3 linked regions of the Mytilus edulis genome follow. The protein of the gene in region 1 purifies or fractionates together with the protein of each later gene. This does not show direct contact. Links are inferred from orthologs where the notes say so. Each region holds a gene or a part of one and is shown in the gene's direction. Other genes may lie near its edges. The genes, in order: importin subunit beta-1-like, ran GTPase-activating protein 1-like and nuclear pore complex protein Nup50-like.

Evidence for each region.
Region 2: the proteins of importin subunit beta-1-like (region 1) and ran GTPase-activating protein 1-like purify together in Homo sapiens (affinity purification with mass spectrometry; 3 studies listed by BioGRID and IntAct, with this or other methods). This does not show direct contact. The link is inferred for Mytilus edulis from reciprocal best matches to the Homo sapiens genes KPNB1 and RANGAP1.
Region 3: the proteins of importin subunit beta-1-like (region 1) and nuclear pore complex protein Nup50-like purify together in Homo sapiens (affinity purification with mass spectrometry; 4 studies listed by BioGRID and IntAct, counting the BioPlex papers as one, with this or other methods). This does not show direct contact. The link is inferred for Mytilus edulis from reciprocal best matches to the Homo sapiens genes KPNB1 and NUP50.

What each region holds. Positions count from the first base shown.
Region 1 is NC_092357.1:50,291,556-50,303,141, forward strand, and holds the start of importin subunit beta-1-like, read left to right. Parts: upstream 1-6,099; 5' UTR 6,100-6,235; coding exon 6,236-6,275; intron 6,276-10,979; coding exon 10,980-11,038; intron 11,039-11,368; coding exon 11,369-11,551; intron 11,552-11,586.
Region 2 is NC_092351.1:73,535,306-73,546,918, forward strand, and holds the start of ran GTPase-activating protein 1-like, read left to right. Parts: upstream 1-6,118; 5' UTR 6,119-6,209; coding exon 6,210-6,324; intron 6,325-11,613. UniProt on the Homo sapiens protein: GTPase activator for RAN. Converts cytoplasmic GTP-bound RAN to GDP-bound RAN, which is essential for RAN-mediated nuclear import and export. Mediates dissociation of cargo from nuclear export complexes containing XPO1, RAN and RANBP2 after nuclear export.
Region 3 is NC_092350.1:13,545,101-13,556,124, forward strand, and holds the start of nuclear pore complex protein Nup50-like, read left to right. Parts: upstream 1-5,461; 5' UTR 5,462-5,635; intron 5,636-7,169; 5' UTR 7,170-7,190; coding exon 7,191-7,259; intron 7,260-7,686; coding exon 7,687-7,773; intron 7,774-8,406; coding exon 8,407-8,794; intron 8,795-9,813; coding exon 9,814-10,182; intron 10,183-10,462; coding exon 10,463-10,538; intron 10,539-11,024. UniProt on the Homo sapiens protein: Component of the nuclear pore complex that has a direct role in nuclear protein import. Actively displaces NLSs from importin-alpha, and facilitates disassembly of the importin-alpha:beta-cargo complex and importin recycling.

The sequences.
Region 1 (11,586 bases):
CTTGCATATAATTTTCAAGAAATATATTTTATATGAAGTTGAAACTATAGGAGTTGACTGCCGCTGTCGATGACGATATATATAAATACAAATTACAAGCACATGTTACCGATCTTTTTATTATATCTGTAAAAGGTATATTATTCTAAACAAATCTGTGATGATTTTATAGTCTACTTTTACGAGTCAAAAGATTTGTAGAGAAAATCAGTCTAAGTGAAATTTCAAACAGTACTCAGTGTAAAGGTTAACTCTACGGAAGGCAATTCGAGTTATATTTGTCCTGATCATCATATATATAGTTTAATAATTCTGTGTTTTTCTTCTTTCTTATAGTTTAGAGTCATTCCTAATAACATGATAAATTATGGTTTCAGGAATGTTCGTATTGCTTTGTTCATTGTCACGGTTGAATACTGTTTTTTTGACGATTTAGATGTTCCCCTTTTTGTGCATTTGTTGATGGAGACATGTATTATGGACTGTCTGAAGCTTATGGACAATCATACCAATATAGTATAAGAAACACAAAAAGATAATATTTTCGTTTAATATATTTTATTTATTCATTCAGTCATACAGACAAACAAATATACAACACACATATAAACCATACAGCATACACCTTCACGTTAATAATTGTAAATTTGTTTGATAATTGGTTGGCAATCACGTAAACTAATTAAAGGATTAACACCTCCGAAATTTGTAAACTGAATTTGCATTAAACAGATCAGTACTAGAGATACGCGTCCAATGATTGGATTAATATGATTTATGATGGGTTTTTGTATATGTAATCATACATAATCATAAATAACGGTCTGATCCCTTTGGCATAACAGTACTTATTCAAAGTAATAGTCAACCTCAGGAAATGAAAAAAATCTTCCCAATTTAGCATTTGCAGGAGAAATACTGATATCGGTAACAGGATAGACAAAAAGGTAACCCTTGAGGCAAGTGAGGCAATTGCCTCACTAAAATTTCGACACTGATTATTTTTTTTTTATACATATATATAAATACTAGAACACACCCGCGAAATCGCGGGGAAATAGAGCGTATGTAAACTGTAAAAAAAATATACTGACTGGAGAATTTCAGGAGAGGTATCAAAATTCAAAGGTACTTAGGGACTGGGCACATTTTTTTGCCCTCCTCCTATTTTCCAAATACAGATTTTTATACCTTCTGTTTTTCTGTACTCTATGAACATGCATATATACTTTAATTACTCAATACAGAGAATTTCAGGAGAGGTATCAAAAGTCAAAGGTACTTATATACATATGGGGTGGGGGGGGGGGTGGGGGGCTGCCCCCCATTTCGTTGAAAAAAGATTGTAGATTATATGGGGAAACATGAGAGTAACCCCCCCCCCCCCTTATGTCAGTCAACGCCCCCCCCCCCCCCCCCCTCCCTTATGAAAAGTTCTGGATCCGCCACTGTAAACTAATTGATAGTAAATAGCAAATATTATTCATTTTCGTTTTCCTCCCAAAATAACCCAAACTGAAACACGTTAAGCAAGGATGATACATGCTAGATCTCAAAATGATAGCAGAAAGCAAATTCATATACTTTATTTCATAGTCTTTGTATGTTCGAAGTACAGAAAAACACAAACCGGAAGTCTAATCTGACTTAAAGTTTTGTCCAATGACGGGAAAATATCCGGACGCATTCTTTTTCGTTTTTTATCCCAAAATAACCCAAACTTAATGATCATAAGAATGGATGACAAATGCGACTATACATGTTACCTATAGGACACAGAGGCATGATGATTATTTTCTTGTGAAAGGAGGAGAAGCGACACCAAAAATGAGGTCTTCTCGTTTAATAGTATAGATAATAGTCATTTGTTGTTCTGTCTCAACCTTAATTGCTATAACTTGTCATCATTCCTTTTAAACTATTCTTCCTGGATATAACTCAGCATCTCAACGGGTGATGTTTCTCGGTAACATTAATCTAGTAACGATAATCATCATGGATCTTTAGTTAAAAACAGGCTCTTGCAGAAAAAGGAAAAGCGACACTGAAGGTAAAGAAGGAATAATTCTAGTAAACTAGTTTTTTTTTTGTGAACAGAGTCTGAGTATTGCATATAACTTCATTAGAACAATCCAAAAACGATAAGTAGACTGACAAATCAAGTAGTGGTCTTCGGAAAGGGGCAGTCCTGTCTGCGTATTCATTTCTCCGTTTCACCAACTTTTGACAAATCAAGTACTGGGCATCGCAAGGGGGCAGTGCTATCTGCGTATTCATTTCACGAACTTTAATCTTTCTCTTTACAGATAAATAAAATATAAATAATATGAAACATGAATGCATGGATTAGTTTTTATCCATGTTTCTTTAACCTTAAAAATTGAAAGAATATCCCATATTATTGAGGAATGGTAGAACCTTATTAAATTAATTAAACACAGGATTTGTCTTTACTTATTCGGGACTACGGAATTTCGTTTCTTTATATTCGGGGTTTCGGAATCGGACACCCCAACCCCTAACCCCTAAATTTATAGATTCTGGAACTAAAATACCACCAACTATTTCCAGAAATAATTTGAAATTACGGAACTACATGTAAACGTCAAAAACTCCATTCCAATTTCCCTGTACCCATATCATATATACTTACTCTATAGATAGAATCATATACATGTATGTTATCTCATTCTATCCCTAGTTTGTCTACTCTTTGTCAGCATAAAAGCGAGTTTAATATTTTGTAACTGCGACTGATGGTGCTTACAGGAAAGCTTAATTCCCTTTTGCAAACAAAAGCTGCTACCGAATTGCTGATGGAGAAGGAATTGGAAGAAGACATTGATCATTGTGTTGATGATAATGTGCTACTTTTAGGAACACAGACTGCCCTGAAACGACTGAAAACTTGGAAAAGAGCGAGAGATTGTGCGGTCTTGCCATGCTCCATGTTCATCGCGATAAGGATATCAGAAGACCAAATTATGATTCTAAAACGATTTGACTGAACCGGCCATAGAAAAATTTGACAAACTCTTCTGAATCTATGTTTGTTCTATGTTCTGGCAGCAGACTCAAATCAGTGATATTTGGATTATTATCTTACATATAAATTTACATAAAGTTGTTAAAAATTTGGTGTTAGTAAAAGTCTTAAAATATGAAAAATTTATATAAAAAGTGTCCAATTCAAAACATTATCAAACTCTCTAAAAATGCCTAGAATGCAGGATTTTGCACCATTCATTTCATACCCTCCTCACTAAAATAAGATGCCTAGTTACGGCCTCGGTAACAGGATAGAACTTTATATATAGTGATATATCATTAACGTACCAATGAAATACAGACAAAAGTAAACTAACATGTGAGGGATTTACTTGATGTTCGGTTTCTTTGCAAGAGAGAAAAAATGCCGAACAATATGAAATGCTATCTAAGACTTGCATTACTGGTGGTAATTTGTTTAAACCTTTGAAAACCAATTTTCCAAAGTTGAAATTAATAAATCGAAATCTGGAGTACAAAAAGACAAAGTATTGTCATCTGCACAGTTATATAAACTACCATTTTTAACAAAAAGAAAAATATCATTTATAAATATGTTAAACAACAATGGCCCTAGTATCGAACCATGTGGTACGCCTTTATGGATGTCAGTCCAACCACTCAGAACATGCCTTGCTTTTAATAGCTAATTGTCTATTGGCAATATTATATTCAACAGAGTTTTTGTTCGCTACACTGTTTCTAAAAGTACATAACATTCGCTTATGAACAACAGCTTCAATTGGGATCTGACCTAGTAACAATAGAGTACCAGTATTAGCAGTTCTTTCTGGTAGGTGCTGTATTTGTTTCATGAGTTTAATGAAATAAGTACTAAGGTTTTTAATATCTTTTGCTGACAGACAAATCACATCCAATCCATACAATAACCTTGGGATTACATAACAGTTAATGAGATGAAGAGACACTTTTGGATTCATACCATTAAGGCCATGGAGGCCTGCGCCCATTAGAGCATAGACAGTTTTGCGTGCAGTTTGAATTCTGTCGGGTACAACTTCTTTTGTGCCAGTTTTTGACCCATTATCTCGTTTACTACGTAATGTATGTTTGCACTCCGCTTGAACTCTGAGTCTCAGCTTGGGTGCTGTATTTTTATAGTGATCTCGAATTAATATATTATATTTCCTTTATAATTTCTTGACAAAAGCATAATTAATACTTGTGTTCATCAAAGGAGTAATAATAAGCAATTAACAACCTTCTTTCGGAGGATTTAACAAAATTAAACATGATAGATAATGTAAAAACAGTATAGTTTATTCAAAAGTTATAATAACCATCTATAAGTATCAAAATAATTCATATATAACATCTATAAAAAATAAAAATAAAAAACCATGGACGATACGTCTTTACAAAGTATGGCCGTTTTTGTCGTGTGGCCGTTTCATCTTTTCGGGGTATGACCGATACATCCTGTGGACGTCATGGCAGTATGGCTGTCACGTCCTGCATCGGTGGACACCCGTGTTAGGTCGAGGGAAGCACGTGCATCAATATTTACTGTACATCGGGCATGGGTTCTCAGTATGTCATGGGGTGCAGTTTAATTGTTTTTCGCTTTCATGAAGAACCCACCCAGACTTATATAGATCAAGCAATTGTATGTTCAAATATACAGTTCCTTTTTTCAATACATTTCTAACCGAATTGATGTAATTTTAAAATCTTAAATAAATCTTCTAAATGTTTATGGCCCTTGACCAAAGAAAATGTAATTCTTATGTAAAAACTGGGCTGTTATATTGGTGACTGTTTTGAATTAAGGAGATCAGGTATGAGTATTGACACTAAAAGTCAAGTTAATGAGGGGGATAGGACCTTTATCGGTACTCCGGGATCGGGTGTTTTTAAGCTCGGGATTTCGTGATTGACCCCTTCGGGATCCGGGAATTCTTTTTTTCGAATTTCGGGACCTCGGGATTTTGTGTTTTTAAGCCCGGGATTTCGGGATCTGGTGTTTTTAAGTCCGGGATTTCGGGATCAGGACCCTCCTACCCTCCCTCGTTAATGATTTGAGAATGAATATAATGTAAAAAAAAATCTTTTATTCACAATAAATATATGGTTTTTGGCTTGATTTTGACCAATGCTAATATACAGTTTCTACTAAATATGTATTTATATCATGTACTCTGTGACTTTTATTGTTGTACTGACGGTTACCAATTATAATCAATTGTATCTGATTTTATGCCCTTAATGGGCCCTGTTATTTGGGAAATAAAAATATTCCGTATTCTATTCTATAGATGCAGGAACATATATATTATGTTAGATATACTGTTCCCAGATAGATGTCAGATGAATATTGTATTCTCATGCAGGCCATGCAGACTCCGGTCGAATTAAGGGCATAAACAAAGTGACGTCAATATAGTTCAAGATTAAAAAATAACATTCAATAAAATCAAGTAATATGAATCATTTAATTGTATATTTATGTTCAATACTGTCTGAGAAAGCTGGGAACAGTTTGTTAACAACTTTATGTTCCTGGAGAAAATAATTCAGTATTGTTCCAACCCGAGATTTTTTTTTTGGAAACTTTAGAATCAAATAATTTGAAATACACAAGATGACTGATGGGTGCTCTTAGACAGGTTACAGGCAATTGATATCATTCGATTGAGGCAGGGACTTTCTATACTATAAGTCCCTGATTGGGGGAATGAAAAAAATTGGCGAAACTGCAAGCTTGCAAGTAGATAGTATTCATTTTTTGGCGGGAAAATGTTTTGGCCGAATCACATTTCTTGTCGGATACATAAAATCTATTTATTATTTTTGGTAGTTAAAGTCGAAATATACCTTTTATTGTTATTCTCATTGTATTTTGAAATTCAAACAATGTCAAGTGATTCCTTTTTTTTCGAGTTTTTTTACAGTCAACTGCAAAAATAAGAAAGGATGTGAAATAGTTCATTCTGAAATAAACCTTAATTTGGTTGGATACATTTTGCAAGAATTCTGCAAATAGTTCATTTTCGTCCAATGAAAACAAGCCTTTTAAAATACCTCGGCTGACTTCTGCCGGCAAACCTTCTCTTCGCCATCTTGGATTATCACGCTTCCCACATGGGAACTGGCTGACCGGCCAATTTAAAGAAATTTCAGGAACGAGCAGAATATATAAACACATTTTTACACTGTAGACATCAAGATGGACCTTGTTAGCATTTTAGAGAAAACAATTTCGCCTGGTAATTCACTTTTTTCCACATTCATTCATTCACCAGTTGACATTGTTCACATATTTTCTCGCGGACTGCATGGGATTCTGAATATATTTTAATGTCTTTTTATTTTGTCAACATTCACTTGTTGCTTATGAAAAGATCGGAGATGTTTATTTTTCTTAAAAGAATCCATCACATAACCTGAACTAGACTGATCAACGATAAAAAAAAAACGAACACCATACTTTGTGAAATGCCAAGTAGCAAAATTGTCCATTGTATCTATTTTGAATATCAGCAGTTGAAAATGATCAATAAGGTTAAGCTTTATTTGAAGATATATGGCTATTATACCTCAGAAACAGTTATCACTAACAAAATCACGATTTTGATTTTTAAATGAACTGTACTGGTTGACCTGTATGTGATCATGAAAGGTCATTAAGGTTTATGTGGACCCTATGGCTAAAATGGCCGTATTTTCACCTCAAAATTTACTCTGAGTACAGACAAACCTGTGCATCTGTAAAAAATTCCAGGCATAGCATGCCCTAGATAAATAAATTTCAAATTTGTTTTAGAAAAATAAAAACTTACCAGAATTTTGCCGTGCACTTTTTTCATTCCTCCAGAAGGTGCCAAAATAAACTAAGTTGGGAAACAGGTTTGAGAACTTCCCCACAGGTAATAATTGAAGTGAGCTGTATTGCTTGACATGGACATGAGATGGACAATAGATACCTAACAATAATTGGTCATTTAAAGTGTGTACCTGAGTGGACCATATCAAGGTAAACTCAACTGTTAATTTTATCATCTTCTGCAGGGACGAAAAAAAGTGAACGGCAAATTCCAGTTAAGTTGTGAATTTTCTAATTCATACAATGCATTTGAATTCTATTTATCTAGGGCATGCTATGCCTTAAAACTTTTTCAGATGCACAGGTTTGCCTGTACTCAAGAGTAAATTTTGAGGTGAAAATACAGCCATTTTAGCCATAGGGTCCACATGAACCTTAATCATTGTAACTTGAAGATATTTTATTTCTGAAGTTAAAATTCTTAGTAGAAAAAGCACCAATTAGAAGTAATATATTTTCAGATATAATATTTGTTGACATGTACGAAGACACCTGCACAACTTCAATTTTGGAGGCCACTGTCTTGTTTTCAGTTTTATTTATGTAAACTATGGTCGATTCATTTGAATAGTTGTGCAATGACGGCATATTACATATAATGAAAAATCCTGGTACTAAATTTCTCTGTTAGTATCTGATGACGATATTTATTTAGCCTATTGTAGCCAGTTCTGAATTCAGACATGATTCTCCTAATAGTTTGGTTTCGGGTAATCAAGTTGATGGGTCTTGCCTACAATAGGAACTTATTCGTGTAGTTGTCTCCCAGTTTCACTTCTAGTCCATCTATTTTGCCATTTTAGTTTGGTTGACATCTTTACTGTGCTTTTTACATCAGACGTGGTTATGAAGTTTTACTGGTCATTTAGATTTGAGGCCTCCTGTGCTGCATCTTTTGCTAACTGGTCCGCTATCTCATTCCCGGCTATATTAGCATGGCCTGGGATCCAAGATAGGGTAGTTTGTATACTGCCTCTCAGGATGGTCCCAATGCTTTCTTTCATGTCTGTAATAGTGTCTGTATAGTTCGATAACTTCCAGTTGAGAGTCAAGATGCCAACCGCTGTCTGGCTATCTGATATGATCTTTATTTCAGTGAACTGTTCTCTAAGTGTGTAAATGCAGTGTTCTAGGACCATAAGGATAGCTATGAGTTCCGCTAAGAGTATTGAACCTCTTCTAGCTACTGGTCTTTTTAGGCTAGTTCCTTGTTGGTTCTCAGTATATATAACTGCTCCTGCTCCACAAGGTCGTGGATTTCCCTGACAGGAGCCATCTGTAAATGCGATAGCTGTTGACTCGGAGTTTTCTCCCATAAGTTTTTGTACTACTTGTTTGCTTTGGGCAGTTTGCTCTGCAGTTCTGTTTTTAGAGCTTCCAAAACAACTCGCAGTAGCTTGGTGCTCTCATCAGCATAAAGTCTACTCCTGCCTTGTACAGGGATCTCCATGGATGGAAATTGAACGATGGAGGAACTTTCACCATTACAAACCGTGTCTACGCTGTACAGTGTAGCGCGATTGGAAGTATTTTATCCCTCCATACAAGGAATGGTGAACATGCTAATTCATTGCTTATGTAAATTATTTGAATTTTCATTATAGAATTAGAAGTATCAATATTTTCATTTATTGCCGTTTTTAACCATTCAAATGCCAAGTCTTCATGGACCCCCTTAGTCAAGAATGACCAAAAGCTGTCATGAAGGTCCCCATGTAGATTTCTTGTATTTTTGGTAATTGTTATGGGGGTTAAAAATCATATGATGTGGAGCTTATTTTTCATGGACACTGTTAAATTCAGAACCCATTACCGGTATGGCTGATTTGCAGCACCAACAAAACGATTCGTACGGGTTATTTAAAGGGTTAAAGAGATTTGTAAAGCAAACATTGACAAATGAAAAGGTTTTTTAATGACTTTATCTGGCAAATTGATGTTGTGCAACATGCATCTTTCGAGTCTGAATAGAAACCGGAAACGCGGATGTATCAATTTGATTGTAACATACGAAATGAATTTGGAATTACTATACGATATTTCTTTACAGGAAATATTTAAGTTTTTTACTTTTAAACTTTTAAAGAAATTCTAAATTATCGTTACAGCAGGACTCGAGTTATTTGCGATGAAATAATATTTACTGTTTTGCATCTTATTTTGTAATTCTTAAAAAAGGGGGGATACTGATTGCGTAAGTCAAAATAAAGCACGTGTTCGACTTGTTAAACTGTTTTCTTTGTAACTGGATTATTAATTTATTTATTTAATCTAAATTATCATAATCATTTGCTGAAACTTAGTTGATTAATTCGACAAATGGATCGTCTATCCTCAGATAGTATTTTGTCTGGTTTGTTGATCTACCTCTACAAGCTCAGGTACAAGTGATTCGCGATCTTGATCCGGATATCCCTCAGGCGTCAGAACTGTATTATAACATAAAAGGTCTAAGGGTTATTCATGCAATTACATGCATTTGATTATAATTGATAAAAAAAATGGCGTCTGGCTTTAAAAAACGATGAAGTTTTGAACGATGGCGCAAGACAATTTAACGATGGCGCGAGTCATTTGAACGATGGCGGGTCGCCATCATTAAACAGGCCATGGAGATCCCTGCTTGTAGGTAAAACTCTGGTTCTATCAGTTTTATGTCTACTTTTGTTGTTATTAGCATATCCATAGCCTGATTAATAGCCTTACCAAATGGAGATTCTTGGTGCTCATATGTATCAGTGTTGGTAAGATATTCCTCCAGCTGTTGTTTAATTGGTTCAGCTATATTTTTGGAATGATTTTTTGCTATTCTTGGACTGATATTTTTTCCATTTCAGAGATCGATTGGTTGCATATTCTTGGGCATTATTTAACAGGTTGGAGACATTCTCCATGAATATCAGAATGTGTGATTTTAATAAAATAAACTGTTCAGAAAACCTTTTTTTACCACATTTGGGGAATAGTTAATTGTCCCCCAACCTGCAGTGATATTGTTGTCTTTTTTCAAAACTACCTCTATCGTTTTTTATTGGGGGAAAATGCATATTTTTTATTGAAATTTTGAAATTTGTTTATTTTATTCTAAACACATCTCTGATATTTTGCTGACCTTTGCTGTCTTTTTTTGCACTGTTTTTTCATGTATATTTTGGTTGTCAAACAGACGCAATGATGGTACTTAATGCATTGAAAACCACATGTGTTACAAACACCATGATGATTCTGATCAGAAATCTGGATCTCAAAAGTGCTTTCTATTATCATAATAATGACATGAATACGATATTTACAAACATTACCCTAATGCCATCACTGTTTTGGGAAAATGTAAAACTTTTTGTGAGTAATTTTAAGCCATTTTTTTAGTTATTGGAAATTTTCTCTAGGGGAAAAAGCCGAATTTCGGCTGTAATTTGAGGCAAACAATATCACTGACCTGTTAAACCATTTTCAATTGAAATTTTTACATCTTCAGATAAAATTTTCCTTGTAAATCAAATGCTTATAATTAGATATATATCATGTATATAGAAAAACAAAATATATCCATCAATGACTCAAAATCAATACATCATCATGCACAACAAAAAGAGTCCAAAAAGTTTGCTGCTGTTTGTGATGTAAATGAATATAAGTCTGATCCAAGACACTTAGCTATAGACCTCAGGCAATTGACTAAAAAAAATTATAAACCTTAATAAAACACAAGATACTTAACTCTCGAAATTTTTCACTCAATTAAATCAAAATTGATGGGTTAAAAAAACATTTCTTGAATTCTTATAACTGGAGCTCTGTTATGTCATGTGTTCTGAATATTATGCATACATATACATGTATCTAACTTGTGAGATTTGAAGTGATGATTATGCAGAAATGGAACAAGGAAAATAGTGAAGTAATTTGTGTCCATAATGGCAATAAGAAGTTTCTGAAGTGAATTTATTATTTCATGATTACAGGTTGATGACAACTGGAAATAGTTCCATACACTTATGTTTTTGTAAAAACTAATAACAAAATATTTTAACACCACCAAATTGTTTATGTATAATGTTAAAATGTATTCTTTATTTTATTACAGATCAAAATGAGTTGGAAGCTGCCCAAAGATTTCTGGAAGAGGCATCTCAAAATAATTTGGTAATTTAGATAACTACATTTTGTGACAAAAAATTAATCCGTTAAGTTAAGAAAATAGCATTGCCTGCCTTGGGCATCAATATATAGAATAACTTGCCCTCCTCAGACATGCAAGAGATTACGACAAGGAGTTTGGGGGGCTGCCTAAGACCTCTAGAAGCTCTTGGTGTAAATGAAGCCAAATCCTGCATTCTAGACTTCTCCTGACAGATAATTTCAAATTTGGAGAAAACAAGGTGACTCTCAGTACAAATTTAGTTATAAATGTTTGATTATGTTGATTGTTTTTATTTAATCATTGGGAACACAACAATTTCTTTTTAATTTCAGCAAGAACTATTGAAATCTTTGTCTGACATTCTACGTAATGGAGCTAACAGTGCTGTGGTTCGAATGCAGGCTGGTCTTCAGCTTAAAAACGCATTGTATTCCAAAGATCAAACCATACGACAAGAACATCAACAAAGATGGCTGACATTTGCTGAGGAAATCCGCAACTACATCAAACAAAATGTAAGTGCATTATAATGAACTTGTATAAAGAAACC
Region 2 (11,613 bases), on another chromosome or scaffold:
TGAGGTTCTGAAAAAAGAAATCACCAATTCAACAACATTCCAACTGACTCCATTTTCAGAAAACGACATCTGTAACAAACATAAACTTTTAGCTACCGCTTTACAAGCAGAGCCAAATACAATGAAAGTCCCAACTATGTACTGGCTTCCGAAGCTACACAAAACACCTTACAAATATAGATTTATTTCGTCTTCAAGCCATTGTTCCACTACTAAATTGTCTATTCTTCTTACCAGCACACTTGGTACAATTAAAAACTTGATAATAAATTGTTCAAATAAGGCCTTCGAAAATAGTGGAATTAATTACTTTTGGAGCGTCAAAAACTCGTTGGAAGTACTTGATAAATTACATGCTTATATTGGTGATTTTAAATCTGTTCAAAGTTTTGATTTTTCTACCCTATAGGTCATTTTTTAGTAGCAATAAACAAAAAAACTATGTCAATTGGACATGCTTTGATACTATATATGCCCTTAAATTTTTACTAGATAACATTTTTGTTCGCTTTGGGGATTCCGTATATCGTTAGATTATCGGAATTCCAATGGGGACTAACTGTGCAACACTTATTGCGGACCTGTTTTTGTATTGCTATGTGTTACATTTTATGACAAAAATAAGCAAAGACCCATGAAACAACATCTGATAAACAAATTTAATAATACTTTTAGATATTTGGATGATATTTTGGCTCTCAATAATGACGACTTCAGTATGTATATTAAGGAAATTTATCCTGTTGAACTTATTTTAAATAAAGCTAATACTAACAATGACCACTGCCCTTTCCTCGATCTTGATATCTATATCACTAACGGAAAGCTGAATACTAAATTTTATGATAAAAGAGATGATTTTTCATTTCCTATCGTTAATTATCCATTTTTAGATGGTGACGTTCCCTTGTCACCATCTTACGGTGTTTATATATCTCAACTTGTACGATTCGCTCGTGTATGTTATGATGGTATGATACTAAACCCCTAACGGGAAGGATTGTGCCTTTCAGTCAGTTTAATTGAAGTCTGGAGCTGGCATGTCAGTTAACTGCTAGTAGTCTGTTGTTATTTATGTATTATTGTCATTTTGTTTATTTTCTTTGGTTACATCTTCTGACATCAGACTCGGACTTCTCTTGAACTGAATTTTAATGTGCGTATTGTTATGCGTTTACTTTTCTATTGGCTAGAGGTATAGGGGGAGGGTTGAGATCTCACAAACATGTTTAACCCCGCCGCATTTTTGCGCCTGTCCCAAGTCAGGAGCCTCTGGCCTTTGTTAGTCTTGTATTAGTTTTAATTTTTAAATTAGTTTCTTGTGTACAATTTGGCAATTAGTATGGCGTTAATTATCACTGAACTAGTATATATTTGTTTAGGGGCCAGTTGAAGGACGCCTCCGGGTGCGGGAATTTCTCGCTACATTGAAGACCTGTTGGTGACCTTCTGCTGTTGTTTTTTTCTATGGTCGGGTTGTTGTCTCTTTGGCACATTCCCCATTTCCATTCTCAATTTTATTTTCTATTATTATGGTTTCTATTACAATATAAAAAGAAATGAATATCATCTTCATTTTGTTTACAGTTTTTGCATAATCTTTCTTCTCTTGGTATTTTAAGGTATCTTCCCTTTTCTATTAATAGATTATGATCACTTAATCTAAATTTTGTTATCAGTTTTCTGAATTCAAGTTTTGAGCAAGTTAAATATTTTTCTTCTGTATTATTTATTTTTACATGTTTATAAATAGTGAGTTTGCTGTTATCCTTTATATCTGATAGTTTATCATTTACTAGTTTTTCATAAAAATGCTTCAATTTTAATTTTATTTGTTCTCTTATATTTTTAGTTATCTTTTGTGAGGAATATGTTTTCAAAGTGTCCAAACCCATACCAGTTTCTTCTACTATATGTTTTACATATGAGAACCAAGAATAAATTCCTGCCGAGTCTAAGTTTTGAGACAAAATAAAGGATTCTTTTAAAAGAGGATTAATTTCATCAGAATATAATCTAATAAGATACAATATAGATTGAAATTTAATATTAAGTTCCAGAGGAAGTCTCCCCAGATCAGCTCTTGCACCTAAATTTGATGAAGTTTTCCTTATACCAAGTGTATATTTACAAAACTGAAGGTGTAACTTACAAGCAGGCAATTTTGACATTAATCAGATATCTATTAATCCCATTTTTGTTGATATCTTGAATGGAAATATTACTGAATTAGAAATCTTGTAAGCGATGAGGAATTTGAAAAATAACCGAAGGCTCCTGGTTCAGAAAAAATATTTAATGAATTTTTGAAAAATTCACCTCCTGTTTTTGCATCATTATATTGTAAATCATTCCAGACTCTTGGACAAGTGGTGTTTTAAACCCGTGTTACAAAAAAAAAGGCAATTCTTTCAGACCCTGATAATTTTAGAGCTATAACACTTATCAGCTGTTGGAAAAATTATTTACTTTTATGATAAATTCCAGACTAAATTTGTTTGCGAATGCAATTTCTATTATACAAGACAATAAAGTTTTTTTTAGAAAAGAATATGCACAACAGATAGTATTGTTGTGTTACATGCACTTTAGAATTATATTTTTTTCCTTTGATTTTTTTGTACATTTATTGACTGTAGAAAAGCTTTTGACGCTATTCGAAGAACTTGCTTATGGCAATACCTATATCTTCGTAAAATCAAGGGCAAAATCATGTTGCAAAGTTCTTTTCATATGTATCAAGGTAATATTTTTTTTTGGTTCAATATAATGATGAAAATTAGATTTTCCCCCATGTCTGATTGGTGTTAGACAAGATGAGAACTTGTCTCCTTTTCTATTTTCTATTTTCTTGAACGATCTGGAATAATTTAATGATTTAGATGGTATTCCTGTAGAACTTTAAAGGAAAAATTAAAAACGGGCTACATATATTTTTTTGAATTGTTCGTAATACTGTATGCTGATGATATAATTATTTTTTTCAAAAACAAAAGAAGCTAGGCTTGCAAAATTCCTTATATATTTCCCCGTTGTACTGCAAAAAATTTGAACCTGAAGGAGCGTGTTAAGAAAACTAGAGTTATGATATTTAGCAAGAGGAACTCATAACAAAATCTGAAATTTACGTGGCAAAATGATTTACTTGAAAATGTAGATACATTTCCGTATTTGGGTGTCATTTTCAAATATAATCGGGTACATTTTTTGATATCAAAGAGAAACTTTGTAGATCAAGCCCAAAAGATCCAGCACTGTTTACAAAATAATACGAAATGAACCTTTGCCCATTGATCTACAATGTAAACTTTCTGATTCTATGATAGAACATATCTCACTGTATGGTTCTTTAGTTTGGGACTTTGAAAAACTGAAAATTATCGAAGAGACTCACTTAAAAAAGGGCGCTGAAAGTTATATTAAATAGTGTATTTTTCTATTTTTGTATATATGTTATGTTTGTCACAGATCATGCTTTTGATTTATATGGCAATAAAATTATTTGATTTGATTTGATATAGATAAAGGCAACAGTAGTATATCGCTGTTCAAAACTCATAAATCCATGGACAAAAAACAAAATCGGGGTATAACATCAAAATCAAATACATGAATTTGGGATAGATACGTACCGTGACACGTCTTAAAGTAATGTGAATTCACACTAAAAAATAAGAGAAAACAAACGACACAACGGAAACACAACGTTAAAATGTAACACACACAGAAACAAACTATAATATAACAATGGCCATATTCCTGACTTGGTACAGGACATTTTATTTTTAAAGGAAAAAAAAGTTGGTATAAACACTACGCCTATTTTTTTTATGGTTAATGGAGAATTGGATAGATTTCCTCTAGCTGGAGATAAAGTTGAAAATTAGAATGATATTTTGGTTTAAAATTGCAAGTAATGAATGAAAGCAGTTTACTCTGTAGACTGATGCTTGGTTTAAAGCCTAAATCTTTAAATAGATAAATTGTATAGGTTGACACAATAATATTAATCAGTACTGGCATTGGATATATTTTTGCATTTAAGGTTTACTTTAGAAACATACCTTCTAAAACTTCCTGAATATTGCAGGCTTTGAGTTACACATTTTCGGTGTTCAAATCTGCGTCTGTCTATTGCATAAAACAGGCAGATGGCAAAATATTTCGATACATGATACAATATGTACTTTGTGTAGGAGTAATATTGGTTATGAATTTCATTTGTTATTAAAATATACTTATCAAAATATTATTGTTTTAAATGAAAAGTTTCGACCAAGCTACTACACAGTGAATTCTCATTATAAAAAAATCAAAGGTCTTCTTTCAATATGTAATGTACAACTGTATAAACGACTTTTTTGTATTTATCAAAAACATATTTCTATACTATTGCTATATCTAAATGATATGTACCGATTATCAGGTTATCTGCATGTTGATATCGTAAAATATCAGCTGCGAGACATAATATGAAGCTTTTTGTCGAGTGAGCGTAGCGAACGAGATCAAAAAGCCTTCATATAATGTCAAGCAGCTGATATTTTACAATATAAATATGCAGATAATCTGATAATCGATTTATCGGGCTATATTTGCGTGTTTCGGAAGTGTTTTCTTTGTTTCACCAGCACACAAAAGATGACTTGATAAGTTCGGGTCAAAGTTATTAACGTCGGTTCAAACATTATGACGTCGCTGATATGTCCGGGTCAAAGTTATTAAGGCCGGGTCAACGTATTTGACGTCACAAAGACATGATACGGAATAATATTAAGAGCTGAACAGAGTGATATAGACAGTGGGACGACCGATAAATCTATGTTATTGATACCACATGTTTACTTCGTCGTGTTCGTGTGATGCTAATATTAATAATAATAATCTGTATTGCCATATAAACAAATGATACATGTTTGTGACAAACTAAAACAAACAAAAACTAACATACACTCATACATATACCGGTAATAAATAATACATATATCAATTGTTGCAAGTATAAAATATAGTGACAAGTCAAAACACAAATTACAACATATCAATATACCACAAAACTTTTAACCATGGTATATATCAAGAGTCCACTGTCCTCAGTTCTATTGACTGTTTTAAAAAGAATGACATCTTGCTGCACGAGGGGCGTAAAAAGAGGCCAAGTATTTGCACAGAATCACAAATAAAAATTTCTTGCAAGATGATTTTTTTTCCGATTTCACGAAACACTGTGAATAACGAACCTTTTGCACGGCTGCGCGTGAAATAAAAATGGTACTTGAAACACGTACGTTGCACGAAAATAACCCTTTACCATCCTCTAAAACATGTATCTGTGTCTGAGTGTTCAAATACAATCTAGAAATCTTGAATCTTGTTTCCTTTGTGTAAGGGCGATAACTCCATTGACTTTTATTATATACAAACATGTAAATATTATAGAACAAGTATATGATAATAACTAAACATGTAAAATGGAACCAATGTTCTCACATCTCAACATCCGTTATGTTTTTACCTTCTAAACTATTCAAAATGTGAAAGGGACGAGTCACAGACACAATAAACTATAAAAGACCTGTAAACAAAAACAACCTAGAATTATTGTATTTTCTGTCTCTGACAATGCAATCTAACAAAATTATTACAAAATTACTGAAAAAAATCATACAAAATTATTACAAAATTACTGAAAAAAATCATACAAAATAATTATAAAAAGTAAAAAAAAAATAACAAATTAACTGACAACTAACAAACCAAAAACCAGAAACATATATGTACCTGCACATACTTAATGTATTTAAGAAATAAACAAGGCCAAAGAAATATATACAAAATATACTGAAACCAAGGATTTGTATAGATCTAGCCATGATACAAATCCTTTAAAACTGAAACGCAACCCGGCGGTGAATACATTAGCTAAATTTATTTTTTTATATATTCGAAATCTTATGCAAAAAAACCAATAGTGGTCGTAAGAACTCATGGCACAGTACACTAGATGTATGAAAAAGTAGTTCTAGCCAATCTTAAAAACATTTTTTTTTAATGTGGCGATATTTGATTTTGGGACGAATAAAGCATTGGGCGATATATAAATATTCATGGTATTTGGTCAGACCATTGAAACGGAAGTAACAAACAGCGCCATAAACTTGAAAGCGAGAAGGCCCAACTGCCTTGATTTTACAAATATTACCCTTAAAATGTCATCAAAAGACTTGACATCAGTAACTGAACAGTTGGCAAAGACCAAAGTTAATGAAACATATGAACTAAGTTTCAAAAATAAGGGACTGAAGCTAAATAGCGCTGCTGATGGTAATCATAAATAACAACAGAACAAACAAACAAAACAAAAACAAATATAAGTTATTAAGCGCATTGTGTTGACGTAGCACCCGAATGGATATACTAAGCTAAAGGAAAGTTTCATGCTTACTCATTCACTGCAATGCTACAAACTTTGGGCCTTATTATACACCTTAATATCCAGGGTTTCCCCAGTGGCAATTTTCTTTTTCGCCACCTCGTGCCAAAAGCAGGTGGCAGTTAGGTCCGCTGCTGTATGCCCTGAGGTAATCGGTGCCCTGAGGTAATCGTGGTAATGCGTCATTGATTAAATACGCACGAAAATATAGTTCTTATTTAGATAGATCTTAATACCAAATTTTAATGTGACCAAATACCAAAGATGTCAACAAACTTCCCAAATGATTTTATTATTTGTTTTCACCGATCATTCATTTCGTATGTACGTGTAGGGTGGGGATGGCTGGTAAAATTATAAACTTTTTTTTTTTTTTTTTTATAAAAGTTCAATTAATGATCTGAAGTATTCATTCATGACAGGGTTACCTGAGGTAACCCCAATTATAACAACAAATACAACCATTAAACTCAAGTCAACTGAGGTAACTTTATATATACATCACATAAACAATACAAATCTATGAAGTCCTACATTCTATTATAAAATTAAGAAATTGTGTAATTAAAATATAAATGTATACACTAGCAAAGTATGTACTAAAAATTCTTTCATAACAGGGTAACCTGCGGTAACCCAAACAATAACAGCAAATACAACCTATTTAACTCAAGTTAATTCAGATCACCTTTACATATACATCACATAAACAATATAATTTCAATGAATTCCTACATAACAAAAGAAGAAAGTGGTTTATTACAGCATAAATGCATATACTAGCAAAGTATCTACTAAGTATTTTGTTATGACAGGGTTACCTCAGGTAACCCATAAAATAGCAACAAGTATTATCCATTGATATCAAGTTAACTAAAGTCGCTTTTCCGATATGTCACATAAACAATACACATCTATGAGGCGTACATGTAAAATAAAGAAATTGTTTGATTACAACATAAATGTTTTCGCTAGCAAACCATCTAATAAGATTCTTTATAACATGGGTACCTGAGGTAACCCCAGATATAATTACAATTATAACCCACTTAACTTAACTGAAGTAAACTGAGATCACCTTTACATGTAAATCAAATAAACAATACAACTTTCATGAAGTCCTACATTTGAAATAAAGAAGTTTGTTTATTACAATAAATGTAAACACTACCAAAGTATTACGAAGTATTCATTCACGACAGGGTTACATGAGGTAATCCCAATAATTACAATAAATACAACCTATTCAACTCAAGTTAACTCAGGTTACATTTATATAGACCTCGCATACACAATACAAATCTATGAAGTCCTACATTTTAGATTAAGAAATTGTGTCATTACAGCATAAATGCATATACCAACAAATTATCTACGAAGTATTCTTTCATAACAGGGATACCTCATGTTATTTCAAAGATAACAACAAATATAATCCATTCAAATTAAGTTGACTAAAGTCGCTTTTCCTGAATATCATATAAACAATACTTATCTATGAAGTCCAAAATGATAAAGTAAATGGTTTATTAGAAGTTAAATGTATACTCTGGAAAACTATCTACGACGTATTTTTACGTGACAGGGTTACCTCAGATAACCAAAACAATCACAACAAAGATAACCCATCTAACTCAAGTTCACTCAGGTTACCTTTAAATACATATACATCACATAAACAATACAAATCTATGAAGTCCTACATTTCAAATTAAAAAATTGTGGAATAACAATATGAATGTATACACTAGCAAAGTATCAACTTAGAATTCTTTCATAGCTGGGTTACCTGAGGTAACCGAAACAATAACAGCAAATACAACCTATTTAACTCAAGTTAATTCAGATCACCTTTACATATAAAATTGAGAATGGAAATGGGGAATGTGTCAAAGAGACAACAACCCGCCCAAATAAAAAACAACAGCAGAGGGTCACCAACAGGTCTTCAATGTAGCGAGATATTCCCGCACCCGGAGGCGTCCTTCAGCTGGCCCCTAAACAAATATATACTAGTCCAGTGATAATGAACGCCATACTAATTACATCACATAAACAATATAACTTCAAAGAATTCCTACATTAACAATTAAGAGGTTGGTTTATTACACCATAAATGCATATACTAGCAAAGTATCTACTAAATATTCTGTCATTCACGGTTACCTCAGGTAACTCATAAGATAGAAACAAGTATTATCCATTCATATCAAGTTAACTTAAGTCGCCTTTCCAATATATCACATAAACAATACCCATCTATGAAGTCCTTCATTTAAAATAAAGAAATTGTTTGATTGCAACATAAATGTTTACACTAGCAAACTATCTAAAAAGCATTCTTTATAACATGGGTACCTGAGGTAACCCCAGACATTATTACAAGTATAACCCACATAACTGAAGTTAACTGAGGTCACCTTCACATGTGCATCACATAAACAATACAACTTTCATGAAGTCCTACATTTAAAATAAAGAAGTTTGTTTATAACAATTAATGTAAACACTAGCAAAGTGTCTACGAAGGATTCATTCATTACAGGGTTACCTCAGGTAACCATAACAATAATAGCAAAGATAACCCATCTAACTCAAGTTAACTGAGGTCACCTATATATATATACATCACATAAACAATACAACTTTCATGAAGTCCTACATTTGAAATAAAGAAGTTTGTTTATTACAATTAATGTAAACAATAGCAAAGTATCTACTAAGAATTCATTCATTACAGGGTTACCTCAGGTAACCATAACAATAACAACAAATACAACCCATATAACTCAAGTAAACTCAGGTATCACCTTTAAATATATATAAATCACATAAACCATACAAATCTATGAAGTCCTACATTTTTGAATTAAGAAATTTTGTAATTAAAATATAAATGTATACACTTACAAAGTATATACTAAGAATTCTTTCATAGCAGGGTTACCTCAGGTAACCAATACAAAAACAACAAAAACAACCTATTTAACTCAAGTTAATTCAGATCACCTTTACATATACATCACATAAACAATATAACTTTAATGAATTCCTACATTAAAAATGAAGAAGTTGATTTATTACACCATAAATGGATATACTAGCAAAGTATCTACTAAATATTCTGTCATGACAGGTAACCTCAGGTAACCCATGAAATAGAAACAAGTATAATCCATTCATATCAAGTTAACTTAAGTCGCCTTTCAGAAATATCACATAAACAATACACATCTATGCAGTCCTACATTTAAAATAAAGAAATTGTCCGATTACAACATAACTGTTTATACTAGCAAACTATCTCAAAAGCATTCTTCATAACATGGGTACCTGAGGTAACCCCAGACATAATTACAAATATAACCCACCTAACTGAAGTTAATTGAGGTCACCTTAACATGTGCATCACATAACAATACAAGTGTCATGTAGTCCAACATTTGAAGTAAAGAAGTTTGTTTATTACAATTAATGTAAACAATAGCAAAGTATCTACAGAGAATTCATTCATTACAGGGTTACCTCAGGTAACCCAATAATAACAACAAATACAACCAATATAACTCAAGTTAACTCAGGTATCACCTTTAAAAAAATATATGTATCACATAAACAATACAAATCTATGAAGTCCTACATTTTTAAATTAAGAAATTGTGTAATTAGAATATAAATGTATACACTTACAAAGTATATACTAAGAATTCTTTCATAGCAGGGTTACCTCAGGTAAACAAATATAACCCACCTAACTGAAGTTAACTGAGGTCACCTTTACATGTGCATCACATAAACAATATAACTTTCATGAAGTCCTACATTTAAAATAAAGAAGTTTGTTTATTACAATTAATGTAAACACTAGCAAAGTGTCTACGAAGGATTCATTCATTACAGGGTTACCTTAGGTAACCATAACAATAACAACAAAGATAACCCATCTAACTCAAGTTAACTGAGGTCACCTTTAAATATATATGCATCACATAAACAATACAAATCTATGAAGTCCTACATTTCAAATTAAAAAATTGTGGAATTACAATACAAATGTATACACTAGCAAAGTATCTACTAAGAATTCTTTCATAGCAGGGTTACCTGAGGTAACCAATACAATAACAACAAAAACAACCTATTTAACTCAAGTAAAATCATATCACCTTTACATATACATCACATAAACAATATAACTTTAATGAATTCCTACATTGAAAATGAAGAAGTTGGTTTATTAGACCATAAATACATATACTAATAAAGTATCTACTAAGTATTCTGTCATGACAGGGTTACCTCAGGTAACCCCTCAAATAGTAACAAGTATTATCCATTCATATCAAGTTAACTTAAGTCGCCTTTCCTAAATATCATATAAACAATACACATCTATGAAGTTCAAATTAATAAAAAAGTAAATCGTTTATTACAACTTAAATGTATATTCTGGAAAACTATTTACAAAGTATTCTTACATGACAGGATAACCTCGGGTAACCATAACAATAACATCAAATAAAAAATACAAATCTATGAAGCCCTACATTTTTAAATTAAGAAATTGTGTGATTAAAATACAAATGTATACACTAGCATAGTATCTACTAATATTTTTTTCATAACAGGGTTACCTGAGGTAACCCAAGCAATAACAGCAATTACAACCAATTTAACTCAAGTTAATTCAGATCACCTTTACATTTACATCACATAAACAATATAACTTTAATGAATTCCTACATTAAAAATGAAGAAGTTGATTTATTACACCATAAATGGATATACTAGCAAAGTATCTACTAAATATTCTGTCATGACAGGTTACCTCAGGTAACCCATGAAATAGAAACAAGTATTATCCATTCATATCAAGTTAACTTAAGTCGCCTTTCAGAAATATCACATAAACAATACACATCTATGCAGTCCTACATTTTAAATAAAGAAATTGTCCGATTACAACATAAATGTTTACACCAGCAAACTATCTCAAAAGCATTCTTCATAACATGGGTACCTCAGGTAATCCCAGACATAATTAAAAATATAACCCACTTAACTGAAGTAAACTGAGGTCACCTTTACATGTGTATCACATAAACAATACAACTTTCATGAAGTCCTACATTTAAAATAAAGAAGTTTGTTTATTACAATTAATGTAAACACTAGCAAAG
Region 3 (11,024 bases), on another chromosome or scaffold:
TTTTAATTATTTTTTTCCTTAAAAACAAGAAAATTACACAGAGCAACACATCACGGGCACATAACGATCACTGACCTCTTCCGTTTTGCGGAGAATATGCTCAAGTTTCTTCAAAATTTAAATATGGCATATATAGTTCAAAAAGATGTCATATTATGAACCATTGGTATATCAAAAATCAGAAAAAGGATAGTAATTTACCTTACTATTTAACTGAAACAGTTTTTGCACAGAATTATTTTGACACGCGGATGCATCGACAGTCGAACCACTGTGCTCCACTACGTGTAAACGTGTTAGCGAATACAATCTGGAGAATGGTCGTTAATATTCTTAAATCCGTTGAAATTTAATACATGAGACCACTTGAAACTAAACACTGTACTGTGTTATACCAGTCTCAGAAATTACTAATGATTTACAACTACATATACATTTCCTTATATAAAAAGAAGATGTGGTATGATTGCCAATGAGACAACTATCCACAATTAAAAGACCAAAATGACACAGACATTTAACAGCATTTAACTCATTTCTTTTAGCGTGCTCAACCATGTTGACCACCGAGCCTCCTTAACCGATAAACGGGCATTGGAAACTTACAAGAGAGTTCCTACACAATATATGAAATTTTAAAGATATAACTCATATAATTTTAGATATAAACTCACAGTTGATTAACTTCCTCCAATCGGAAGCAGTGACCACGACATCGTACTATTGGGCCTAGCTAGCAGCTAAAGTAACATGACCAAAACCAACCAGTTTAGAACCATCAACCTCTGGAAATATGCCAATATGGAGTGGAAATCAAGAAAAGCCTTACTGAGTAACTTCACTGAATTCAAGTTAAACAAGTGAAACTGCGAGCTACTGCTCACTGATGATACCCCCGCCGCAAGTGGATAATATTAATAGTGTAAAAATATGGAAGGGTTCGGTAAACAGGAAGTTGTCGAGTGATGAATCTGAAAACGCATCACACGGTATAGCTGACTTATAAAAATCCTGAAACCAAATTTCAGAAATCCTTGTATTGTAGTTCCTGAGAAAAATGTGACGAAAATTTTTAACTTGGTTATCATGTGTAAAATCATACAAGTGTTCGGTAAACAGGAAGTTGTCGAGTGATGAATCTGAAAACGCATCACACGGTAAACCTGACTTATATAAATCCTGAAACCAAATTTCAGAAATCCTTGTATTGTAGTTCCTGAGAAAAATGTGACGAAAATTTTCAACTTGGCTATCATGTGTAAAATCAGACAAGTGTTCGGTAAACAGGAAGTTGTCAAGTGATGAATCTGAAAACGCATCACACGGTATGGCTGACATATATAAATGTTGATACCAAATTACAGAAAGGGTGGATGTGTAGTTCCTGAGAAAAATGTGACGAAAGTTTCATGGGACGGACTGACTGACGGACGGACTGATGGACGGACAGACAGAGGTAAAACAGTATACCCCCCCCCCCCTTTTTTTGAAGTGGGGTATAATCATGCAATTTCAGTGATATCAACGCAATGTGGAATAATTTCAAGAACATCATCATGAATGTAATGACCACATACGTACCAACTAAACAGACTAAAGAGAGATACAGCCACCCTTGGATGAACACACAGCTACGTAAAATTAGCAACAGCAAACAGCGTGCATACACTATGGCTAAAAGATCTAAAAACACTAGAGAGAGATTGGCCTGTATTTTATTTGAAGAAAACCACTGTTTTAAATAATTGCTGTCTTCTTTAAAAGCAAAAATTACATCTTGTCAAAGTATCTGTATCTGTATTCCCAAAATGAAATTCTGTATGTGGATGTATACGTCACAGATTCCTTTCGGCATGATTGTGTGACGGTTAGTCTGCGCACAAGCAAGTTCGTCTGAGGAGTGCAGTTTTAAACTCCCGTCAGTTGTAGGGACGCACACTACCGAGTCATCTAGACCACTCTACTGCAGTGCGCATGTTCTTAGTGATAAAGTTGTTAAAGGTTGTAGCCCTTAGTGTCGTTTTAGTCTGTGAAATTTAATAAGGTCGTCCATGAGAGGGAGCACTGGTATCTTCCCATTAAACACTTTGAAAAATAAAATCAATCATTGTTGTTGACGGAAGCTGCAGTTCTTATAGAATTTTTGTCATACATCCTTTCTCTCTTGATTTGTATGCTTTAGCGATGAATCGAACCCCTCCCTTTTGTATGGATTCTAATTAATCTATGTCCTTTTGCGTATATTGGTCTCAGATAATTGATCCATACTCTTTAACGGATCTTATTAGTGATATACATGCTGTTTTACGGTATTCCTTAGGGCAGTGTTGTATATTTCTCCTAAGGAAGCCTAGCTTTCATGGAACTGGCTTTGTTAGTTGAATAACACTTGTTCTAGCACGTGGTTATTAAGGTTGTAGAACTGCTTGAATTTGCTTTCTAGGCTTAGCAGATCCCCCCCCCCCCCTTTTAGCACATATAAAGCATTTTTTAGCGTTGAAGCGCATACCCCAGTCGTTGGTCTATTTTTCTAGTGATTTGAGATCTTCTTGTAGCCGTTTGTTATGTTTATTTTGGTTTTTGATTTTTGATGTCCCTGTACAGCAAGCAGTCGTCTGCAAATAGTCGGACTGATGAGTATACTGCATCTGGAAGATCATTTATGTGACAAAAAAAAAGGATGGATCCTAGATCTGTTCCTTGGGGGATTCCGGATTCAACTGAGGCATTAGTTGAGTGTTCTCCTTTTATATGTTCTAGTTGGACTTGCATTTTTCTTTCAGTTAGGAATTAAGTTAGCCATTTGTGGATATTTCTTCTTATTCCATATTGATTTATTTTGTGCAGGAGTCGATCATTAGGTACAGTATCGAAGTCTTCGATAAATCCTGGATCGCATTGACGGTCTACTTGGTTTCCCTTGTCGTATGACTGGAGCATGTCGTTGATTGGGATGGAAATTAGGTCTCCCCTAGAATATCCAGATCTAAATCCATGGTTTAAAGAAGTCAATACATTATGCTTGTCAAGGTGTTTAAGCTAGCATATGTCTGCATATAATGTGCTCAAGTAGCTTACATGGTACTGATGTTAGCGAGACTGGCCTATAGTTTCAGCCTCCTTTCTTGAAGATCCTAGAGATGTTGGCATTTCTCAAGTCCTCTAGTAGAGTACCACTGTCTCTAGGGATAGCTGGAATATTGATGTTAGTATCAGTGTGCCAGATGTTCTGCGCATTGTTCCAGTACTCTATTTGGTATATTGTCTGAAGCTTTGGATGGGTTGATGGTTAGCAGCAGTTTTTTTTCACTCCTCCTGTTCTGATGGTAATTTGATATATGGAGTCTTTTACCCTGATGCTTGTTTTGGGTAATGTTTGTGTTGTTTCTTTTTTGAAGACAGACGCAAATTGCTTCAGAAGAATTTGAGTCTTCTCCTTATTTTCGTTTATGAGCTGTCATTGTTTCTTAGTTCATTAGAGCTGATGTTAAATCATTTGTCAAATATAAATTATATTTACAATTCTCCCAAGATTTTACATAGGATACTTTTAAACAACTACGCAAAGTAAACATTTTCTGAATTTGTATTTATTAAAGTTACTAGTACAAGGCAGATCAATAATTTTACATAGGTGTCTGACACTGCTATACCAACTATTGTGATTTTGGGGTCAAACCCATAATCCAACAGACCCATAATCCGACAGTCCCGTAGTCCGACAACCCGACAGTCCGACACGCATTCACTTGTCTCTGAAAAGTCAAGTATGGCTTTAAATACATGAAAGTGATTTTTTTTACACAAAAAATTGTCAAATCGATCAGTATGGCGTCTTCTCACCTCGAACCTGACCAGTATTCTGCGGGTGTGACCCTAGAAAAATAAATGACCCGTTGTCACCTGGATTCAAAGCCTTCAGACTGATTTCATATTGAGTGATTTTCCTTAGCAGAACCGGTAAATTCGTAATTCTCCTTGGACAATACATTCAACTAGTAGCTTTGTAAACTCAAATTAACTGACCCATGTCAGTGCATGGCTTCACTTGACAGCTTTGGTGTACATGTCAAACACACTGTTGATAAACAGTGGCGGATGCAGGAATTTTCGAAAGGGGGGGTGCTAGCCCAGGGCAAAGGGGGGGTGCAAAACATATGTCCCGATTCAAATGCATTGATCGGCCAAAATAAAGGGGGGGGGTGCGGACCCCCGGAACCCCCCCTCTGGATCCGCCACTGATAAACAGCCATTACCTAAGCTTAAGGTCGTAAATAATTTGTTTATTTCAAGTTAAATTGTTTCCCCTTTCACAATATATGTAACCCTTCAACTTAGGTTGTTTTGATTTTTAGCTTATCTGACCTGAAAGGTCAAGTGAGCCTTTCTCATCACTTGACGTCCATCGTCCGTCGTCGTTAACGTTTACAAAAATCTTCTCTTAAACTACAGAGACAAAACTAACCAATTTTAGCCATAATCACCATTAGGGTATCTTGGTAAAAAAAAATGTTCGATGACCCTGCCTTCCAACCAACACCCATCTCCGACAAGGGTAAAATTAGAACATAAATGTAAAAGGCAGTTTTTGGTTTATACCTCTGAAACAAAAGCATTAAAACAAAGCTGATGGGTGTAAAAAATGTTCATCAGATTTAGATTTATCTGCCCTGAATTTTTCAGAAGAATAAGACAACCTCTTGTTAGGTTGCTGCCCCTGAAATAGTAATTTATAGAAATTTTTTAGTTTTTTGTTATTATGTAAGATATAATTATAGTGTCTAATGATATTGTATATCGAATACTGTTGATTATGTTTAAACCTTTTTTCAACATGATTTTCAAAGCATCATAAAATACAGGTGAGCGACACAAGCTCTTGAGAGTCTCTAGTTTGTGTAAAAGATTAAATCTAGAATGCAAAATCATACTTTACTATTTTTCTAGAACAATTAACTGTTGTGAAATAAAAAAATAAAAAACTTTTTACTGAAAGTACGCATAAAAAAAACTTTTAATTGCATTCGGCCTTTTTATACCCGAGAACACTATTTTGAATAAAGCCTTAGATCTACAGATCTCTAAAGATTTAGATAATAAAAATCACGGGAGCGTAGCTATAATCTAAATCTTTTAGAGATCTGTAAAGCTTTATTCAAAATAGAGTTCTCGGCATAAAAAGGCCGAATGCAATTTAAAAAAAAGGTTTTTATTATGCGGACTTTCTGTTATATTCATCCTGTCTTTTGTGGAGCACCTCAATTTTTGTTGACCGAAATGTTTTCTTGGACTACTTTTTAAACATATTTTTTTAAATAAATTTTATTTTCATATATATTCAAACATAAAATGATCGAAACTTAACCAAATGCAACAAACAACAATACGAAAAAATATGTGTATCAGTTTGATAAATTTAAGACATAAACATAAAAAAATCTTAACAGTTTCCCTTTTACTTAGAGGCGTAATGATTTCCAACATGTCAGCCTCCATGGGGATCATTCTGCAAAAAATTGAACTGTAGAAATATTGAAGTTAGACTCGATAGACCTTTAAAGAAACAAAATTTTGTTGATTTTAAGGATAGCAGTAGTCAATTACATCATAGATAATTATTTGAAAGAACGGAGAGGTGTGTACTGCTTTTCTCGAAGTCCAATTTCCACAAGAGTTATTGACTGGCAAATATGGCCGTTTTTACACAAAAAAAAACCAAACTCTTTTAAGTAAGATAAACCACGTGCAACTGGAAGAGATTTGAATCATAACACATTGTAGATGAATAGAATAAGATTGGATAAATTAAGGTTAATGGAGTACAAGTTTTCCTCTCTTCATGTATTTTGTTTCCTTTGAACTTATAAGCATGAAACACCTTTATTTCGCTAATCCCCGCTGACCTGGCCGTTTGAATTTTTGATGTCATACAACAATCACTTTTCCATTGTGGCGTCAGATATTTGGTTTATGACGTTTGAATTTTACGGGAACCTGTGTGATACATCATGTACATGTATACAGTGGGGGTCTCATTGGGGGGTTCCGATCCCGGATCCCGCTTACTGTTTTGTCAGATTCCCGTATCCCGCTTACACTATGTACGTAAGCAATTCTCATTTTTTTTGTCATTTCCCGGGTCCCGCAAGACCTCATTTCCCTTTTTCACCCCACAATAATTTTTTTACTTTTACGTGTCGCGCTTACAAAAAATCGGCAATCCCGCGTCACGCTTAGACCCCAATGAGACCCACTACAGTAATGGCGGACAAATAGCGATAAGGTGTACATTGCAAATGCTAAGCTACTAAATAGGGCTCTTTGACACATTCCCCATTTCCATTCTCAATTTTATTTACTCTTCACAGTTAGTTGGGCTATATTGGATTAAACTATAGTGTACTATATAAATGGTTGAGCTTTGGAAGTACTTCTTTTGCTCAGATGGTTAATACTGAAGCAATTCTCATATTTTTTGTTCTCACTGAAAAGGTTTGTTAAATGAAAATAGTGCTGAACGTTTAGAAAGTCACAAACTAGTGCTGAACGTTAAGAAAGTCACAAACTAGTGCTGAAATGTTGAGAAAGCTAATAGAAAAGTGCTGAACTTTGAGAAAGCTCTTTAAAATAGTTCTAGAGGTAAAGGGGTAGGGTTGAGATCTCACAAACATGTTTAACCCTGCCGCAATTTTTCGCCTGTCCCAAGTCAGGAGCCTCTGGCCTTTGTTAGTCTTGTATGATTTTTAATTTTAGTTTCTTGTGTATAATTTAGAGTTTAGTATGACGTCCATTATCACTGTACTAGTATACATATTTTTAAAGGGGCCAGCTGAAGAAAACCTATGGGTGCGGGAGTTTCTCACAACATTGAAGACCCATTGGTGGCCTTCGGCTTGCCGCTGTTGTATGCTCTGTGGTCGGGTTGTTGTCGCTTTGACACATTCCCCATTTCCTTTCTCAATTATACTGAACACTGAGAAAGGTTCTAAAATAGTGCTTAACGTTGAAAAAGCTCATACAAATAGTTCTGAATGTTGAGAAAGCTTGCAGTAATGAACTCGATGTCCCAGGTTAGGGGGAGGGTCAGGATCCCGCTAACATGGTTAATCCGCCTAACATCAGATGAAATTTTATTTGAATATTCAATTTCAATTTTATCTTTCTTTTAGATATTTATCTTTAACTAAAATATGGCAAAGAGACGAGCAGATAAAGAATTAACTGACAGAAATTGGGACGATGCAGATGAACCAGAAGAGGTTAGTTAGGGATTTTACTGACTAATTCATATATGTAGGTAATATTTTTATCATGGAATTTTTCAAGCGCCAGGTTACGCAAAATAAGGTAAAAGAATTTTCTTAATTTCATTGAAAAGTAACGAAAAATGAATTGTATTCCTGTATCAAAATTTGCATGCATACGTATAAAGATCTACACTGATTACCTAGTAATTTATTCTATTTATAGAATAGGAATACCACCATAAAGATATTTTCAACATGTATTCAAATTTAGTTCAATCTGACATAAAGTAGTTGACCTGTTACAAATTATGAGTTTCTTATCCACATGAACCATATTTATTATACATGTTGAATATACCTGACACATGTCGATAAGTACGTACATTTTTAGATAGTCTATAACACTGTATTTTTAACTTTACATATTGTTGAATTTCAGGCAGGGGAAATCCAGCTTGCCACTGAAGAATCATTAAAAGGAAGACAAATTCTGAAAGGAAAAAGGAGAGGTGCAGCTCCAGTTCAGGTATTCCAATGTATTCAATTGTGCTAGTTACTGGAAGTTATAAAAATATTGTAATAAAAGAATAACCATCTTTTTCTTCTTAGTTTCTAACGTAGAGTGCAGGAGTTTGTAGGTTCCATCCCTAGTAGGATCAACATCTCTGAAATATGTATTTGCTGCCTCTCTGCAGTGTATATTATTGCATTGTGGAATAACATCAAAGAGTGGTCGGCTTTGATTCAGAATAATGTGTTAAAGTAGGGTGACAACTGATATAGGAAGATGTGGTATGAGTGCCAATGAGACAACTCTTCATCCAAGTAACAATTTATAAAAGTAACCCATTATAGGTCAAGTTACGGCCTTCAACACAGAGCTTTGGCTTACACCGAACAGCAAGCTAGAAATTAGTGCCCCAAAAATTACTAATGTAAAACCATTCAAACGAAGTCTTCTTGTAGATTGTACATGTACCTTAATCTTTTAAATGCTTTGTAAAAGAAATATATACATTTGTACATTGATACAAAATGGAGTGATATGAGTACATCCTGAAGTTAGTTTTTATTTCTTTATATATTTTGTCCCTTTAAGCAACTAATATTTATAAATTTCAGTTATAGATTTGATATTAAAAACCTTCTTTCTTTTTAGAACAAAGAATTCAGTGGGTTTTCTGGTTTTAGTTTCAAACCTACAGCAGCTAGTACACCATTCTCTTTTAATGTTAGATCGGTCACCAATGGTGGGTCGGAAAAGGATGAAAAACAAACGGAGAAAACAAAAGAATCTGAAAATGGACAAGCAAAGACACTTCCACCATCTAATGGTGCTGAGAAAAAGAAAGGATCTTATTTGTCAAGTTTGAAAAATTTGAATGAAAGTGTTTTATCATGGATAAAAAGTCATGTTGATAAGAATCCATTTTGTATATTGACTCCTGTATTTAAAGACTACGAGAAACATTTAGAAGAAATAATGAAAAATAAAGATGGAGAGAAAACAGAAACTGGAGAGAAATCAAAAGGAGAAACAGACACAAGTAAGTCCTGTTAAACCACTGTAAATTCAACAGTCTTTAAATCTGGTATAATTCTTTATAATTTGCGGGCTACCAACTTTCATGGATTCTGAGCGTAAAATTGAATCAGGAGGTGAGCAAGAGTCCAGAAATGGTCATATTTGCCAAACGTAACCGATTCTGAATCTATTTGTGCCAAACGACAGATTCGGATTTGGGACAAATTTTATTTGTTTAACAAAAATAATTTTGGTCATTTCGTTGAGATTGGGTTTCTTCATCGCCATTTTGCACAGGTTTTTGTCTTGTTTTCCCTTCCCTGTAATAAAACTGCCACTCCTGTATAGTGTTATAATCCTGAGAGCCCTCCTTATAACTATATTAATGCCTCACAGATATATTGGCTGATGATCGCTAATCTCTTTAGTCTCTTTATCTGTGTTTTTAATTCACACCTGACTATTGATCACAGGCTCAGAACTAATATTATAAAGAAATTAAAATTCCATAAAAACTATCTTCATTATTTGATTACTTTTCAGCTAATACAATTGTCAATTCTGATTTAAAATCAAATGAAAATTTAAATTAATTTACATAGAAAAAGTAATTTTTACTTGACATGCATGCTTTGTTTACTACATGTATGTAATATGCATGTGTGGAAATTCTCTTTCGCAGATTCAACCACTTAATCGTAAAATGCAAAATGATTTCATGCTAAAAAAAACATGTGCAACCATTATCATTAATATTCAAACACTAACAAAGGTATAAATTTAAAAAGCAGATGATTTCCTGTCAATTTGATAACCAAACTAATCTGGGAAATGAGTACAGAATTAATTACTCGTTTTTGTATTGTCGCAAAAAGTACGGTTTGAATTTTGTCTTCAAAATGGATAGAAACTTTAGCGATGTATACACATTGGCACACCTCTATTTGAAATTAACTGTTCTCAACCCATAATAGATGTCAAATTTATTTGTTTGATGTAAGACCAGTTTTTCGTAAAATAGTAATTTATTATTTTTTACAGAAACAGCTCCAACATTTCCCCTTGGAAATTCTCTTATGTCACCAACATCTTTAACAACAGAAAACAAGCCATCTGTTGCAAGTTTTGCATTTGGTAATTCTCCCAATTCTAAAACAGCAACTACTACAGAGACCAAACCATTGGGAACTGGTTTCCAGTTTGGAGCCAGTTTAACTAAACCAACCGGGTTTGGTTCTATTCCTACTACAACTGCAGCCTTTGGTGCCAGCTCAACTACAACAACTGGATTTGGCGCAACAGCTACTGGTTTCTCAGGGTTTGGTTTCAAGTCTTCCACAGAGAGTAAACCTACATCTGGTTTCTCATTTGCTGTAAACAAGCCAGCTGGAGAGAGTGGTGCTAGTCAAGGTATATTTTCTTTGCCTCAGATTTTTAATGACTTTTAAAAAAAACAACTAACATACATGCAAGTGTTATGATAAAAGTCCCAAGATGGTAGAATGACGAAAGAGAAATAAATAACATACCCTAAGACCACTATTCTTGATACTGAGTCAATTTAAGTTAACGGTTCCTGGACATATTTAAGCTGGACAGACAGATGGAAGATGTTTTACAACTATAATATTTGATCATGATGGTCGTATATAAAGCATTCAGTTTATTATTCTTTTTATGTACTTTGTAGAAGAAGATGATGAGTATGTGCCTCCTCTAGCAGAATCTAAAGAGGTTCCAGAGGAGGGATCAGTACACTCCATCAAGTAAGTAGTAGGTTTATTTAAATCCCTTTCAATCTGAACAGGGAGATGTATGTACACAATTTTAAACAGAGCTGTGAGAATTCTGCCATTTATGAAATATATTATAGCATTTATTAGAAGTGCACATTTTTAATGGGAAAACATAGATCAAAACACAGCAATCAACTAGTTGGAATGTATTAAAATAGCTGGATACTTTGATAGTAATAAGTCGTATAAACAAATGAATTGTCTCCCTTTCATTTGCTCACATATTTGAAGACAATATGTTTACAAGATTTCAATTACAATTATTGTATGTCTTAGGAAGACTGAATGTAGGTAAACATTATTTGCTTTTCTACACATTGATATCGTAAAATAAGATATTTGCTAAAAAGCTTAACATTGTGTGGAGTGGCTGATATTTTACCATATCTATACGAAGAAAACCCGATTATCTGTGTATAGTTTTATTACTGGTCATTTCCCACTCCTTAAGATAGA